Danio rerio: one gene and its partners. The protein of the gene in region 3 interacts with the protein of the main gene of each other region in a pairwise test. Links are inferred from orthologs where the notes say so. Each region holds a gene or a part of one and is shown on either strand. Other genes may lie near its edges.

What was found.
Region 1: the proteins of sh3gl3a (region 3) and atxn2 interact in binary tests that used the Homo sapiens proteins (3 or more experiments, as listed by UniProt). The link is inferred for Danio rerio from reciprocal best matches to the Homo sapiens genes SH3GL3 and ATXN2.
Region 2: the proteins of sh3gl3a (region 3) and rpl35a interact in a two-hybrid assay, tested with the Homo sapiens proteins (2 studies listed by BioGRID and IntAct). The link is inferred for Danio rerio from reciprocal best matches to the Homo sapiens genes SH3GL3 and RPL35A.

The regions. Positions count from the first base shown.
Region 1 is NC_133180.1:42,591,335-42,596,761, reverse strand, and holds the start of atxn2 (ataxin-2), read left to right. Parts: upstream 1-2,196; 5' UTR 2,197-2,584; coding exon 2,585-2,703; intron 2,704-4,580; coding exon 4,581-4,614; intron 4,615-5,331; coding exon 5,332-5,391; intron 5,392-5,427. Other genes in the region: cfap251 (cilia- and flagella-associated protein 251), read right to left, coding at 138-365. UniProt on the Homo sapiens protein: Involved in EGFR trafficking, acting as negative regulator of endocytic EGFR internalization at the plasma membrane.
Region 2 is NC_133193.1:48,778,085-48,783,576, forward strand, and holds the start of rpl35a (large ribosomal subunit protein eL33), read left to right. Parts: upstream 1-2,261; 5' UTR 2,262-2,288; intron 2,289-2,759; 5' UTR 2,760-2,786; coding exon 2,787-2,797; intron 2,798-5,182; coding exon 5,183-5,335; intron 5,336-5,492.
Region 3 is NC_133182.1:12,818,104-12,822,805, reverse strand, and holds part of sh3gl3a (endophilin-A3a), read left to right. Parts: intron 1-1,466; coding exon 1,467-1,625; intron 1,626-3,369; coding exon 3,370-3,473; intron 3,474-3,873; coding exon 3,874-3,998; intron 3,999-4,702. UniProt on the Homo sapiens protein: Implicated in endocytosis. May recruit other proteins to membranes with high curvature.

The DNA.
Region 1 (5,427 bases), on a different chromosome or scaffold from region 3:
AATCTACTGAGCAACGTATGTCGTGATATCTCAAATATTTGTAGTTTTTGAGTATAATATGGAAATAACGATGCATATTAGTTATTTGGGCTAATTAATGCAAGTAATTATGATAAAGTTACAGATTATTGCATTACCAGTGGGTGAGTTTTGTTGGTCTCTTTGGGAATGGCAGGCAATGATGTGGCTGTGTAAATTTGTGAATCAGCAGTATCCTCTTGTTGACTGGGTAGATCACTTCTTTTTTCAACCTCTCCTGTTGCTTCATCTCCATCGTGTGATTCTTTCTTTATCTGATTATTTTCTGTGCTTTTCGGCTCCCCTGTGTCTTCAGCTTCTGAAGACTTTCCGTTTTCCGTTGACATTATGAGTTGTAAAAGCAAAAGCCAGTCTCTTTTTGCGACAGTCCTGTCTCCGTGGCGTCGAAACACCCCTAAGTTATGCCAAAGATTTGTTTAAAAAAGTCTTAATTGAGTAATTCGTAAACACAAATATAACGTTAACCATACTTTTAATCGTACAAACACAAATGTCTCGCACAGAAGAAACGATGAAGTTGTCGTTTATTTATCCGGTGTAACTACCCACGCATCCCGTTGCTAGGATACGGTCACGTGGGGGTAATCAACAGCCTGAGAGCGGTTGTTGACGAGAAGTTCACAAGTTAGGCTATTATTTATATTTTTTTATTAAAATTTTCAATAATTGTTAAATCCTATCTAGACTTCACCCCTCTGAGAGCATACAGGGTTCATAAGATTTTTTATTTAAAATATGATCACACAATACAGTTTCTACATTTCATTTTTTTAAATCTTGCCATAAACATTATTAGCTAAATAATGATGGACTATATAACCTGATTTTTAAAATTTTTATTTTAATGTTATTTTCTAAGAACCTCTGAGCCACTGATTTTAGAGGAAACGCCAATGCTGACTGTGCTGCTTGATATTTTTTAAGGAAACCGAAACATATTTAGTTGTCTTTAATGAGTTGAAAAAAAACAGCATTAATGTACTTTTGTTAAATAAAAGTATTTCGTTAAACCAATTCACAGAACAACAGGCCCTTAAGCAGACTATTGAAATGGTGGTTCTGTGGACCTTTTTACAGTTATTTAATTTCTAATAAATTATAAGGTTCAAATATGGCATTTTAAGTGACATTTTCAAGCACTAATCTTTGTTGGATTAGCTTTTCGGATGGTCATCAAAACCACAATCTTTGATGGAACAAAAATATTTCCTTTAATTTTGTCAGAAATGTTCACTATACTATTTTACCATGTGCATTTAAACTGTACGTTATTTACAGTTTTCTTTCGAACCACCCGAAGCACCCTGGCTACAGACCTGTACAAAGAATCTACATTTTTACATTATCAACTTTATTGTGTAAGATTTATAGGCATTTTTCCTTTTTTTTTCTTATCTAAATTATTTAGGTCCACATATGACAAGTTTATGAGTATTTGTGCATTCAGGTTAAAACCATTGACTTCTATTTTCTTTTTCCACTATTGAAGTTAATCGTTACAGATTTTTAGCTTTCTTCAAAATATCTTCTTTTCCTGAAGGTTTGAAACCAAATGAGGGCGAGTGAATTTTGAGTAAATTTTTATTTTTGGATGAACTATTCATGTAATTTCAAGTTAATTACATATTTTAAATCACAAAAAAAAAAAAAACTAAAACATACACAAAGAGGAAAATGAGTCAATGGAAAAACATTGTTTAGTTGACCATATTTAGATCAAGGGTTACATGAGGATAACGCTTTATTTAATAATTGCTTAAAATCTCAAAGCAGAGAGTAAAATAGTGTATATTAATTAGATTACTGTTTTAAATATTAAACTCGAAGAAATAAAACTAATCAGAACAACTAGGCCAAATAGAGCTTGAAGAATTTAACTGTATATATTTCACCACCAGTCACCTGGTCTAGCGCCAAAGCACACACGCACAAAGTGATCAGTGCATCTTCTGAAAATAGTGCGCTCGACATATGCGCATCATTCCTCAAATCTAACATTCATCCATTTCTAATATTATCTGAATAGTGTATTACGTTCTTAGAATATTTACAATAACTATTGACGATCATTTCTTCTGGAACCAATAAAACCATCAATAGGAGTACACACATTCCTGGGATGTGTATATATCCTTCCGCCACTTTTTGTGGCTTTTCAGACTGTTTAGGTCTATCGGTCAGTGCTGAAGCCCCGCGTGAACTGTGTATATCACTGAAAATACCGCACTAAAAATAACAAAATAGCGAAATTACCGGGTTGGTATTTTTGTAGACATCTAAAACATATGGGTCGTCCGCGCTTTGCTTTTAAAACGGGCTGAATTGTCTCTGTTTAGGAGGAATTAATCAGCAGAGCTAGCTGAAGTAGCAGGCAGCGTCAGTGGAGACTCGAGTAACTGGAGGAGCAGTTTTACACGTTGGCTGTCACTAGATCAACTGTCAGCTAACACGTCAAATAGCATTTTCCGCTCTCGTCCGCGGCATCAAACGTTTTTTTTCCAAACAGTCAGACAACTCTGCTCAAGCTGTCGTTTATGGGATCATCATGTCCATGAAGCCGCAGGCCGGTGGTAATCGCAAACCCGGCGGAAGCAACAGCGGAGCCGCTGCGGCCTCCGGTACCGGGGGAGCAGGAGGAGGCGTCGGACGCCAGAACATGGGCAGGTGGGTGACCAATCTGCATAACAGGCTTTTAATTCGGATGGACCGACGAGCGTGAACCAACACGGGAATGCGGCATGCCTGCACTAGTGTCGTAGTTTAAAAACGCAGGTTGTGGAGTTGCAGTGATCAGGATAGAGCGCAAGTAGGCCGATATAGGCCAAGTTCACAGGACAGGGATTCACAGGTTAATGGACGCAAACTACTGCGGTTATAAAATAACAGCTGATAGCGGACAACATGTTCGTGTATATTTCGAGAGGGGCGGGTTGTCTGCTGTGGGTGCTGGTCACGTTCAGGATGAATTGTGCGTCTTTGCCGGTGGGATATGGCTGTGCCAGCTTTTCCCAGGACAGATGCTTTTGTATCGTGTCGGAATCTGTTATAGGATTGAACGTGTTTGACATTTTAGTCACTTACAAAGAAATAATCTGAGAGTCATAACGTTACAGTGGGTATAGAAGCAAGTGTTAGCCTGCTAACTACTGTAGCAAACATTTATCTGCTCATACTGTCAGAAATCTGTCTAATTTAACAGGATTTAAAGTATGTTTTGTAGATTAACATCATTCAGGTTTTTGGTCATTATGTAATCGAGAGATCATAGTTTTTCTACAACGTTTTACCAATTGCTTCTGATTTGTGTCAGTCCAAACAAAAAAGGGTTGTTTGCTACAGATAACGTTACCTAGTTTTATGCTTTTATCTTCCCGTCAGCTGATTTGTAACCTCTTCTGAGGTGCCCCTGAATCGATGTTTTGGGAATTCATCATCCATTATGAGATGTCACATGTTAGCTCTCTGTTTGACTATTGACAATGACATTAACTCAGCGTCCGATTTAGATTTCTTGAATTCCGTTAGCTGAGGGCCACTAGGTCGAATCTGCGTGTTTCCCGTTACTTTTCGATTGATCCTTCATGTTGGAACTATCTGTCAGTCGCGTGCATTTCCGATGAGGGGCGGCGCGCGCGCTCACGAGGACAAGCGCTTAGTAGAGTGGAAAGTCAGAGAGCTGCACTCTCAACCTTGACGTTTACAAGAGGTTGCATGCATAAGTCTGTCCTTGCATAATGACGTTTGAGTAAGTATGTTGTGTAGAGGTGTGACAGACGAATGTTATTGTCGTGGTTTGTGTTGAGCTGTCATGAATGAAGAAATTAACAGTGGAAACTTTTAATCTAACAGCTGAGAATTGGCATCACATAGTTGCACACTGCATGGGGAAAATGTGATTATTGTTTACGCAAAACAACAAGAGTGATATGACTTGTACAAGATTGTGGGAATCTTGAGTGGTGCAGTGGAGCCTTTCACTGCCTGTAATGCAGCACTTGATTTGCAGCCTGGCTGTTGAAAAATAATTGTCATTCACAGCTTTTATCTTACTAATGTATTTTAATGTACTAGATGCTGATAGTTTTTGCCTAATCTTTGAGCACTGAACTTATTTTGCTGCACATTAGAGATCTTGTTGAAATTTTGTCCAACACATTGAAAGCTTTACAATTCAGAATCTGTCATATGTTTGAGGTATATGGCTGTTAGTGGATATGAGTCACGTACTGTCAGTAAAATGCAGATTTTCTTTTTAGAGTCTGTTGTTTGGGAACTACATAAGTGCTTCTTTGCACAATGAATTGCATGAAGCATATGATTATTTGTCACTCCTTTGTCATTACAGCTTTGAGTGTTTGCCAGTACATGTGCAATCGATAACCCTACTGGAATCACTTGAATTTGTGTTCGTAGGAGTGTGTGACTTTTTTTGCTCTTTAAACCGTGTGTACAGCATGTCAAAGATTTTCTGTGTATGCATATGGTTATAGTTCAACTGTTATAAAACTTCTCAGTCATGCTGTTTTCTCTCCTCCCAACAGAGGACGCAACAATGCCAAAGGACCCTCTACTGCAGTGAGTTTCGGCTTTTCTTTTTTTCATTTATTCATAGTGTAAATTTATTAAATTGATTCGCATACAAATTTATATTCCCTGTTGAATCATATATACAGTGCTCAGCTTAATTGAGTACACCCCGTTTCGAAAATAAATATTTTTATCCATTTCTCAGTAAATATAGGCAATGTAGTTTGGTGCATTTAAACAAAACAGGTTTATTAAACAGATGTATTTATTAAAGTTATATTTTAGTCACCAGACATATTTAGAAGTATAGAGTATTTAGAAATAATACAATTAATAAATTTGTAGGTTGTATTTTTTTCCCGATATTTTACTTGAATTTAATCAAGCAAAAAAATTACAACCTACAAATTTTCAACTTAATTTTTAAATTTTTGCTTCTTGTTTTTTCCTCATTTTAAATTTTTGTTTAATATTTTTCTATAACAGATATATGTGGGTGTACTAGTTTTTTGGGCCTTCATCGTAAGTTATTTTGTTAGATAAACTCCAGATTTGGCTTCAGTACTGACTAATGGCACAAATATAATATTGTATAGCTTCCTGTTAAAATATGAACATAAAAGATAGATTTTTGAGGGGTGTACTTGTATATGCTGAGCACTGTATCAGCACATTGAAAGCTGCTCAGCCAATTAAAATATAGATACTTGTAAATTGTATATCTCTTTACCTCAGGCAGAAATGTTGTTGATTGTTCTTTTTTAGGTGGCCTTCAATGGAGTTTATGCAAACATGAGGATGGTTCATGTTTTGACCTCAGTTGTGGTAAGTATAAATGCACAGCTGTAATTATATTCTTTT
Region 2 (5,492 bases), on a different chromosome or scaffold from region 3:
CCACTTTATTAGGTACACCTTACTAGTTCCAGTTTGGACCTTCAGAGCTGCCTTAATTCTTTGTGGTATAGATTCAACAAGGTACTGGAAATATTCCTCAGAGATTTTGCTCCATATTGACAAAATATTATCACACAGTTGCTGCAGATTTGTCGGCTGCACATCCATGATGCGAATCTCCCGTTCCAGCATACAAAGGTGCTCTATTGGATTGAGTGTTGATTGTGTGTGTGAGGATTGGTGTGTGTTGCCTGTTTGTTGATTTATTAATGGTAATATACTAAATCAATATTCAATGAGATTAATAAACAGTTATTTCCAGATGTGACGTGACGTGTTCAATCATTCATTTTCTTTTTGGCTTAGTCCCTTTATTAATCTGGGGTCACCACAGTGGAATGAACCGCCAAATTATCCAGCACATGTTTTACGCAGCGGATGCCCTTCCAGCCGCAACCCATCTCTGGGATGCCATCCATACACACTCATACACTACGGACAATTTAGTCTACCCAATTCACCTGCACTTTATGTCTTTGGACTGTGGGGGAAACCGGAGCACCTGGAATGAACCGCCAATTTATCCATCATATGTTTTACACAGCGGATGCCCTTCCAACTGCAACCCAGTACTGGAAAACACCCATACACACTCATTCACACTCATACACTACGGCCAATTTAGTTTATTCAATTCACCTATAGCGCATGTCTTTAGATTGTAGGGGAAACCGGAGCACCCAGAGGAAACTCAAGACAACACGAGGAGAACATGCAAACTCCGCACAGAAATGCAAACTGATCCAACAGAGACATGAATCAGCAACTTTCTTGCTGTGAGGCAACAGTGCTAACCACTGAGCCACTGCGCCATCCTGGATGCATTCATGATAGAAAAAACTCATACACCTCCAGGTTGCCTTTTGAGGTTGATTAAATCTGAATAGAAGTGAATTTCGAGGACTTCCTATGAGGTTAAAATTGTTCAGAAAGCATTATCATTTTAAGGGGGGGAAAATTCAATTCATCTTTATTTCAATAGCACTTTTGCAATGTAGATTGTGTCAACGCAGGTTAACATAGACGATCATAGTAAATTGAAACTGTCAGTCCAGTTTTCAGAGTTTAAGTTCAGTTCAGTGTGGTTTAATTTTCACTGCTGAAAGTCAAAACATTGAAGAGCACATCCATCGATGCGCAGCTCTAGGGTCCCAAACCATGCAAGCCAGTGGCGAGGAACAAACTTCACCAATTTGCGAGAGTGAGGAAAAAAAAAACCTAGAGGGAAACCTGGCTCAGGTGGGCACGACCATTTCTTCTATTACCAATGTCTTGTGCAGAGCTGCAGTCTAGGCACCGCTAGGCACCGATGGACGTCCATCGTGGAGAAGCTGCAGATGGGAGAGGTCACCGGCTGGTGTACAGGCTGGGCCACAGGATCAATGCGGAGACTCGTCTGTCTGTCACTGGGGTCTTACAGGAATCAGTCTCATGCTCTTCACTCCTCCAAGATCATCACAGCAGCTGCTCAGGACACGGTCTGGTCCAGGATTATGGAAACCTTGAGAATGATTAAAAAAGACTAACCAAAATGGAAAATGGTTCATATTTCATCAATCGTGGCAACAGACAGTTAACATTGGCTCAGGTTAAATTTGTTGGACTTTACCCTACACCCCCAGAGTCAAAGATTGGTCATATGCTTCAAATAAGCTCAAATCAACTTAATGAATCAAATGGATAAAGCAGATATGAGGTTAAACACACAAACAAAAGTTCATATATTTGATCAAAACAGGATTAATGGATAAAACAAAGTTAAAAAACATCTTAAATCCTTGAAAATATATCAGTACAATGAAAAGCTGGATATAATTAGTGAGTATAAACAACTCCAGTGAAATACCAAACTAGCCTAACGTAAAATAAAAAATGAAATATGCAACTACAATTTCAATATATAATAGATGTGCAAACAAAATAGAAATGGATTATATTTTATATATTATTTTAAAAATTTTACTTTTAATACTTTTGAATGATTTTTGTATGTTATTGTTGATGATAATATATAGGTTAATGTGGAATACAAATAAATATAATAACATATATATTTTTATGAACAACTGTCCCCATATTTGCAAGTAATTCAGTTATATCCACGAAGAAATATAAATGAGGAACATCCCGCTTTAATTTCAGTCAGGCAGATCTTCAGCCGCCGCTGCTAACATTTTCCCAGCGTTCCTTGCGAGCGGCCTTTTCCTCCATTTTTGAGATAGAATCAGGTGAGCGTTTAACAGCTCGACTTTTAAAATGTGATGTTTTAGCCTCATCTGATGTAAACTAAACCACGATTTACACTAATATAGATGAACACATTAATTAAGTCCATATACAGATGATTTCGCCTCTGTGGGACGTAAGATGCTTTGGATTTGAAACGGATTGTATGGTCCACTCGGCTCCAGCTAAACCGAGACCCGGAGCTCATTTCTGCCTTTCGCAAACGTGTTATTAAAGTATACTTTTAAGCTTGAGTTTTGTAGAACATTTACATGTCTAATTTCCTTATTTCTAGTAAGTAATAATAACCATGAAGCAAGTAAGTTTGTGTAAGAACGTGTTAGCATTTAGCATAAACATGCAGCAGCTCCGACATTACTTTGAATGCAGCCAGCACAAATGTATTTAAGACACAACGAGCTCACATTTTTGATCCTCACACTTAAATGTGTTCGTATTGTTTTGTTATTTAGGTTTGTTAGCCTGGTCAAAGGATCATCATGCCCGGAAGGTAAGACTCGAAAAGCTGTCAGTGTTGTAAATTTGAGTTGATGGAGAAATGTTCACAAACTTTATCAAGCGTTAATCTTTTGTCTATTGCTCAGCCACTTATTTAATGTGAATTGTAATCAATGCACAATTTTTGAAGAAGATATGGAGTCTTTCGAACTGATTATTTAGGTTTATTTTATATAAGTTAAAGTGAGATGACATCTATTAGCTAAGTTAAATGCCTGTCATACCTGACTTATTTAAATCTATAAAACAGGGATCATCAGACTTGTTCCTGGAGGGCCGGTGTCCTGCAGATTTTAGCTCCAGCCCTAATCAAACACACCTGAACAAGCCAATCAAGGTCTTACTAGGTATACTTGAAACACCCAGGCAGGTGTGTTGAGGCAAGTTGGAGCTGAACTCTGCAGGGCACCGGACCTCCAGGAACGAGATTGGTGACCCTTGTTATAAAGGAATTGTGATGTTGGAATTTGAGGTAAAGTTGGTTTATATTTGCACCTTTAGACTTTCGCCACATTAATATTCTTAATATCCTATTCTTAATGCAACCTCTTTCAGCAGAAGTATTGTTTGCAAATTCTAAACAGGGAAATCATTACCAGGCAATGACTGTCAAAGGAAATTGTTCATGGTCAATTTAATAGTGCTAATGTTGTTTTGAAGTCTTGCAAACAATATCAGTTGACTGAATATTCAAAGTAGTGTGGTAAACGTATAGGGAGCATGTCACAAGTTGTCACTGTTCAAAAATGAACGAATGTGTAAATATAAAACTAACTTTACCACAATTAGAATTTTTAGGTTGATGGTATTGTGGTGTTGGCAAATTACGCTATTACATTTTCAAATATATTTCTATAAATCGCTTAAGCTTATGCATCATTAAAAGGTCTAACTAATCTGTTTGATATTGTTTTGAAAAATAAACCCCTTTATTTTAGTTGTACATTTTTTTCTGATATTTTTATTTTATTTTATGCTGATTTTTACATTTTGGAGTTCTATTAAGATTTTTCTAATTGTTAGTTGGTGTAATGTTCTTTCAACCTTAAAAAAAACAGGTAAATTTGGTTTTCTATTTGCACGTGCGGACTTTTTGATAATATAATTTCAGAAAAGTATTCTTTGTAAACTCTAAATAGGGAAATCATATAAGCAGCCAATGACTGTCAAAGTACAACGTTGTTCACAGTCAATTAAACAGTGCTGATGTTGTTTTGAAGTCATACTTGCATACGATTTCAGACCAAATATTTAGTAGCGTTGTTCACAATATAGGGACTCTGCCACAAGTTGTCACTGAACAAATATGTGACTAAAACCAACTTTACCTCATTTTGAATTTTTAGGTTCATGATATTGTGATGTTGGCCAATTACTTGGTTAATAAGCGACTCTCTTTTTCAACAAGATTTTTTCAAATCCCTGAAGCTTATGGATCATAGCCCATAGCTAATCTTTTGAAGGTCTTTTTTGAGGAGTGAGCCCCTTTATTTTGATTTTGTACTGTTATAATTTAATTTACCTTGTTGTTTGTACTTTTTGGAAATCCATTAAGATTTTTTTAACTATTGTTTCTAGGTATTATCTTTCAACCGTAAAAAACATTGAGGTGAAGTTGATTTATATTCACACATGCTGACTTTCTCTTTAGTAATAACATTTCAGAAAAATATTCCTTGCAAATTCTAAATCATATTATCAGCCAGTGACTATTAAAGTACAACATTTAGTCAATTAAACAGTGCTGATTTTGTTTTGAAGTCATACTTGCATGCAATATTACACTCAATATTCAAAGTAGTGTGGTAAACAGTATAGGGACTGTGCCACAAGTTAAATTTTTGGGTTGATGATATTGTGGTGTTGGCCAATAACTTGATTCATAAACCACTTTTTTACTTTCTAAAAGATTTCTTTAAGTCCCTAATGCTTTTGTGTCATTAAAAGCCCCATAACTAATCTATTGAAGGTCTTTTATTGAAAAGTGAGCCCCTTTATTTTGTTTTTGCACTTTGTTATAATTTATTTAATTTGCTTTGTTTTTTTTTCATGCTGATTTGTACTTTTTGGAAATCTATTAAGATTTTTCTAGCTGTTGTTTCTTGGTATTATTTTTCAACCATAAAAACATATTGAGGTAAAGTTGGTTTTGTATTCGCACGTGCTGACTTTCTCTTTGGTAATATTATTTCAGATGAGTACAATGTTGTTCAAGTTGTTTTTTACATGCTATTTCCGACTGAATATTCAAAGTAGCTCAATAAATAATAAAGGAACTGTGTCAAGTTGTCACTGAATGAACGTGCGAGTATGAAGCCAACTTTACCTTAAATTATACTTTAACATGGCTGAAAATGATCAAACTGTCTGTTTTTAGGCTGTGGAGCAAGGCCATCTTTGCTGGCTACAAGCGTGGCCTGAGGAACCAGCGTGAGCACACAGCTCTGCTAAAGTTAGAGGGAGTTTACAACCGTGGCGAGGTCGACTTCTACCTGGGCAAACGCTGTGCCTACGTCTACAAGGCCAAAAAGTAAGTGAATGACACTGCTGTGTGTTTATGGGACAAGTAGCATGAGTGAGGAAAATTTTGTGCTGGTGTCCTGACATTTTATCCTACCCATCAGATTATGTTGCCCATACTGTATTTGAATGGTTCTGATATTGGGGTTAGGGATTAGGTAGGTTAG
Region 3 (4,702 bases):
TATGCAGTCAAAGCTGGAAAAATTATTTGATCCGTTCATTTCTCGAGTCCTCGGTTTGTCGTACGTTTATCATGTGAAAGACAGAAGCCAGTCATATGTAGTCAAAGCTAGAAAAAGATTTGATCCATTCATTTCTTGATTCCTTGGTTTGAGTCGTTTGTTCATGTGAATGACAAAAGCCAACCATATGCAGTCAAAGTCAGAAAAAGATTTGATTCGTTCATTTCTCGAGTCCTCAGGTTTGAGGTGTTCATTCATCGTGTGAAAGACAGAAGTCAATCCTAAGCCAGAAAAAGATTTGCTCCGTTCATTTCTTGAGTCCTCGGTTTGAGTTGTTCGTTCATCATATGAAAGGCAAAAGCCAATCATATTCTGTTAGAGCTGGAAACAATTTGATCCGTTCATTTCTCAAGTCCTCAGGTTTGAGTCGTTTGTTTATCATGTGAAAGACAGAAGTCAATCATATATAGTCAAAGCCGGAAAAATATTTGATTCGTTCATTTCTCGAGTGTTCGGTTTGAGACGTTTGTTCATTGTATGAAAGACAGAAGCCAATCATTTGCAGTCAGAGCTGGAAAAAGATTTGTTTCTTTCATTACTCGAGTTCTCAGGTTTGAGTCATTCGTTCATTGCATGAAAGACAGAAGCCAATCAAATGTAGTCAAAGCCGGAAAAAGATTTGATCCATTCATCTCTCGAGTCCTCAGGTTTGAGACGTTGTTCATTGTGTGAAAGACAAGCCAATCATTTGCAGTCAGAGCTGGAAAAAGATTTGTTTCGTTCATTTCTTGAGTCCTCAGGTTTGAGTCGTTCATTCATCGTGTGAAAGACAGAAGCCAATCATATGTAGTCAAAGCTGGAAAAAGATTTGATCCTTTAATTTTTCCAGTGCTCGGTTTTAATCATTCATCTCTTTACGTGCTGTCGTAATGAACAAACGACTCAAAAACCCGAAGATTTGAATGGTGAACTAATCATAGCTCCTTTTGGCTCAGATTGTGTGCATTGGTTAAGCTTTTATGGGACTGTCTATCTCTCGTGAACAAACGACTCAATTTTGTAGACATGTCAGAAGAGGTGAGCTGAGCTAATCATAGACAAAAGCATTCTAGATATGGCTTGTTTGTAGTGTGATCAATGCTTGGGCTAGTTGTGGATGTGTTTGGAAGCAACTTGTAACATTTTAATAATATTACAGCAAATTGTACGAAATGACTCAAAGATTCGTTCATCTCACTGAACGAAACTCAAAGGGCTGAGTCTTCCTATCATTAGTTTTAGCCATGTCAGTCACATAGAACAAAACTGCACATTTCTAAGCACTTCACAGGAATTTAAAGCTTAATGATTAATAGCTCTTCTGATTAATTGATCAATATTGTTGTATGGTTAGCATTATCGGTCAGTAGATTATCTTTCTTGGCTGATTGCGTAATGTAAGAATGTCTTTGTGTGTTTCTCGACAGCATCATCTAAAGAAGCTGGAGGGTCGACGGTTAGACTTTGACTACAAGAAGAAGCGTCAGGGCAAGATTCCCGATGAGGAGATCAAACAGGCCGTGGAGAAGTTTGAGGAGTCCAAAGAGCTCGCCGAGAGGAGCATGTTCAACTTTCTGGAGAACGATGTAAGAGGCAGTTTATGAGGGGTCAAAACGATGCGATACAAGTATAATCCAGCTTTCTTTTTAGTTTAACTCAGTTTTATTGATGCATGTTAGTCAGAGAGGTACAGTATCATATATAAAGAATCTCAAGACATCAATTAATACAGCTTTTTTAATGTAAGTTTAACTGTGTTCTTCTTAATTAATCTTTTATTGGAATAAACTATCATATAGTACCATTTTTACCATGATGTACCTACATTCGCTAAAATGCCATTCAGTGTAGTACACTTTAAACAAATTAAGACTATGAGGGGTCCAAAACAATTCAATACAAGTATAATACTTTGTTTCAAAATCAAATCAAATTAAAACGAATCAAATTACTTTTTTGTCACATCAACAGCAGCATGTGTACTATGATGAGTGAAAAGCTTTGTTGCTGGCTCCAGACAGTGCACAATACAACAATATGCTCTAAGAAACAAAACAATATACAGTTAGCAATGTTAACAGTAATACATAAAAGACAATTAATACATGAAGGACAATAAATGCGTCAAGAAAAACACACATGTGGGCACAGATAGACAAGTACACAGTCAAAAAGGTGTACACGTAGTTTGACTGTTGCTGGAAAATATTGTAGGCAATATTGTTTTAGGTAAGGATTTGGTTAATTAGAATTCCTTACATTTATATAACGCTTTTCTAGACGCTCAAAGTGCTTTACACACATTTAGAGGACATTTACATATTGTGCCAGATCACACACCACACATCAACTGATTGATGGAGAGACGGCAGAGTGATGAAGCCAATTATGATATGGGGATTGTTAGGAGGCCATGATGGACAGGCCAGTGGGCAAAATTGTCTCTTTTCGAAGGAAACATTTGAAGAATTTTTAATGACCACAGAGAGTCAGGACCTAGGTTTATTGTCTCATCCGAAAAACGGCGCTCACTGAGCAGTATAGAGTCCCCTTCACTATACTGGGGCGTTAGGACCCACTCAGACCTCTGCTGTTTCCACTAACACCACTTCCAGCAGCAACCTAGCTTTCTAATGTGGTCTCCCATCCAGGTACTGACTGGGCGCAGCCCTAATTAGCTTCAGTGGGCGACCATGTGAGAGTTGCAGAGATCTAGCTGCTGGTTAAAGTGCATTAAAGTGCATGCTAAACCTTGATGGTATGCAGTGAGGGGTATGTAAATAAGTCTAACAGTTTTATTGATACATATTATTCAGAGAGTTACAGTATCAAATATAAATAATCAAAAGACATCAATTAATACAGCTTTTTTATTGACATTTTTTTATTGACAAAAAATAAGCAAATACACTTAATTTACATTGGAAATTGTCATATTTAATAAATATTTTGCCAAATGCTATATTTACAGTATTATTACTTCAACTGTATGTCTGTAAAGTGCTTACGAAATACATTAATCAATATTAATCTTGTCTATTTAATTTGTATAATAATTTTTTTTTTGTATTTTGTATTATTAACATTTCATATATATATATATATATATATATATATATATATATATATATATATATATATATATATATATATATATATATATATATATATATATATATATGTTTATATGTTATAATATTTATTTATTTATTTATTTTTTCATTATTTCTATTTTTAATACTTGAGGAAGCTGGCATTGTATCACACTGTAAATAAGCCTTTGACTAACTAATAACCTGTATAAACGCATTGTGCCGCTCTGACCTGCAGGTGGAGCAGGTGAGTCAGTTATCAGCTCTAATTGAGGCAGCGCTAGAATACCATAGACAGTCTCTGGAGATCCTGAAGGACCTCGACAGCAAACTACAGAACAGGTGCCTTTAACCACACACACACACACACACACACACACACACACACACACACACACACACACACACACACACACACACACACACACACACACCCTCTCATTCAGTAGAAAACATCCAGTACCCAGTCTATATTCATAAAAGCATTACTGATACGACATATTTATATCTACTCTTTATCTATGTTCTGTGCTGAAAAGGTAATTGGAACATTTGAATCTTACAGTTCCAATTTTAATATTATTATTATTACTATTATTATTATTATTATTTGTTTCATCTCCTTGCTTTGGATGCCAGGCAAACACTTTTATTTTATTCTATGTGTATTTTGTGAACGAAATAAAGATTTACTTTAATATACAATTGAGTTAGTAATATATTTTGGCATCTGATGTTGCAGGATATCTACAGCAAGCCGTCGGCCCAAAAAAGAGTTCAAGCCAAAGTCAATAGTGTCCAGTTTGGAGAGCGTGGAGAACACACAGCACAATGGACTTTCACACACCTCATCAATCAAATCCACAGGTATCCACAACAAAACATCTTGACATTTAAGAAGACAGATTTCATAAGCTTTAGTCTAAGCAGAAACATACAGACACACATGAGAGCAGAATGTTCTTTTTTTATTGTCATAACTTGTATCTGTTAAAATACTTTTAAATCCTTATATTAGCAGTTTTTTTAATGTGGTGGAAGAATTTTGGATACTGTATTTTTTGATAAATCTTTCATTTATTCATGTGAATGTTTTTTATGAAAAATTATGTAAATTATGCAAAAATTAAATGTACTTTTTTGTGTTTCTTACAAATCTACACTACTTGACAAAGTCTTGTTGTCAATCCCAGTTGTTAGAGCAACAAATAATAGCTTGACTTCTAGTTGATCAATTGGAAAAGTGGCAGAAGGTCGATTTCTCTGATAAATCATCTGTTAAGCTGCATCCCAATCATCACAAATACTGCACAAGACCTATTGGAACCAGCATCGACCCAAGATTCTTAAGAAATCAGTCAGTTTTGGTGAAAAAAAAAGTCATGGTTTGGGGTTACATTCATATGGGGGTGTGCAAGAGATCTGCAGAGTGGACGGCAACATCAACAGCCTGAGGTATCAACACATTTGTGCTGCCCATTACATTACAAACCACAGGAGAGGGCAAATTCTTCAGCAGGATAGCGCTCCTTCTCATACTTCAGCCTCCACATCAAAGCTCCTGAAAGCAA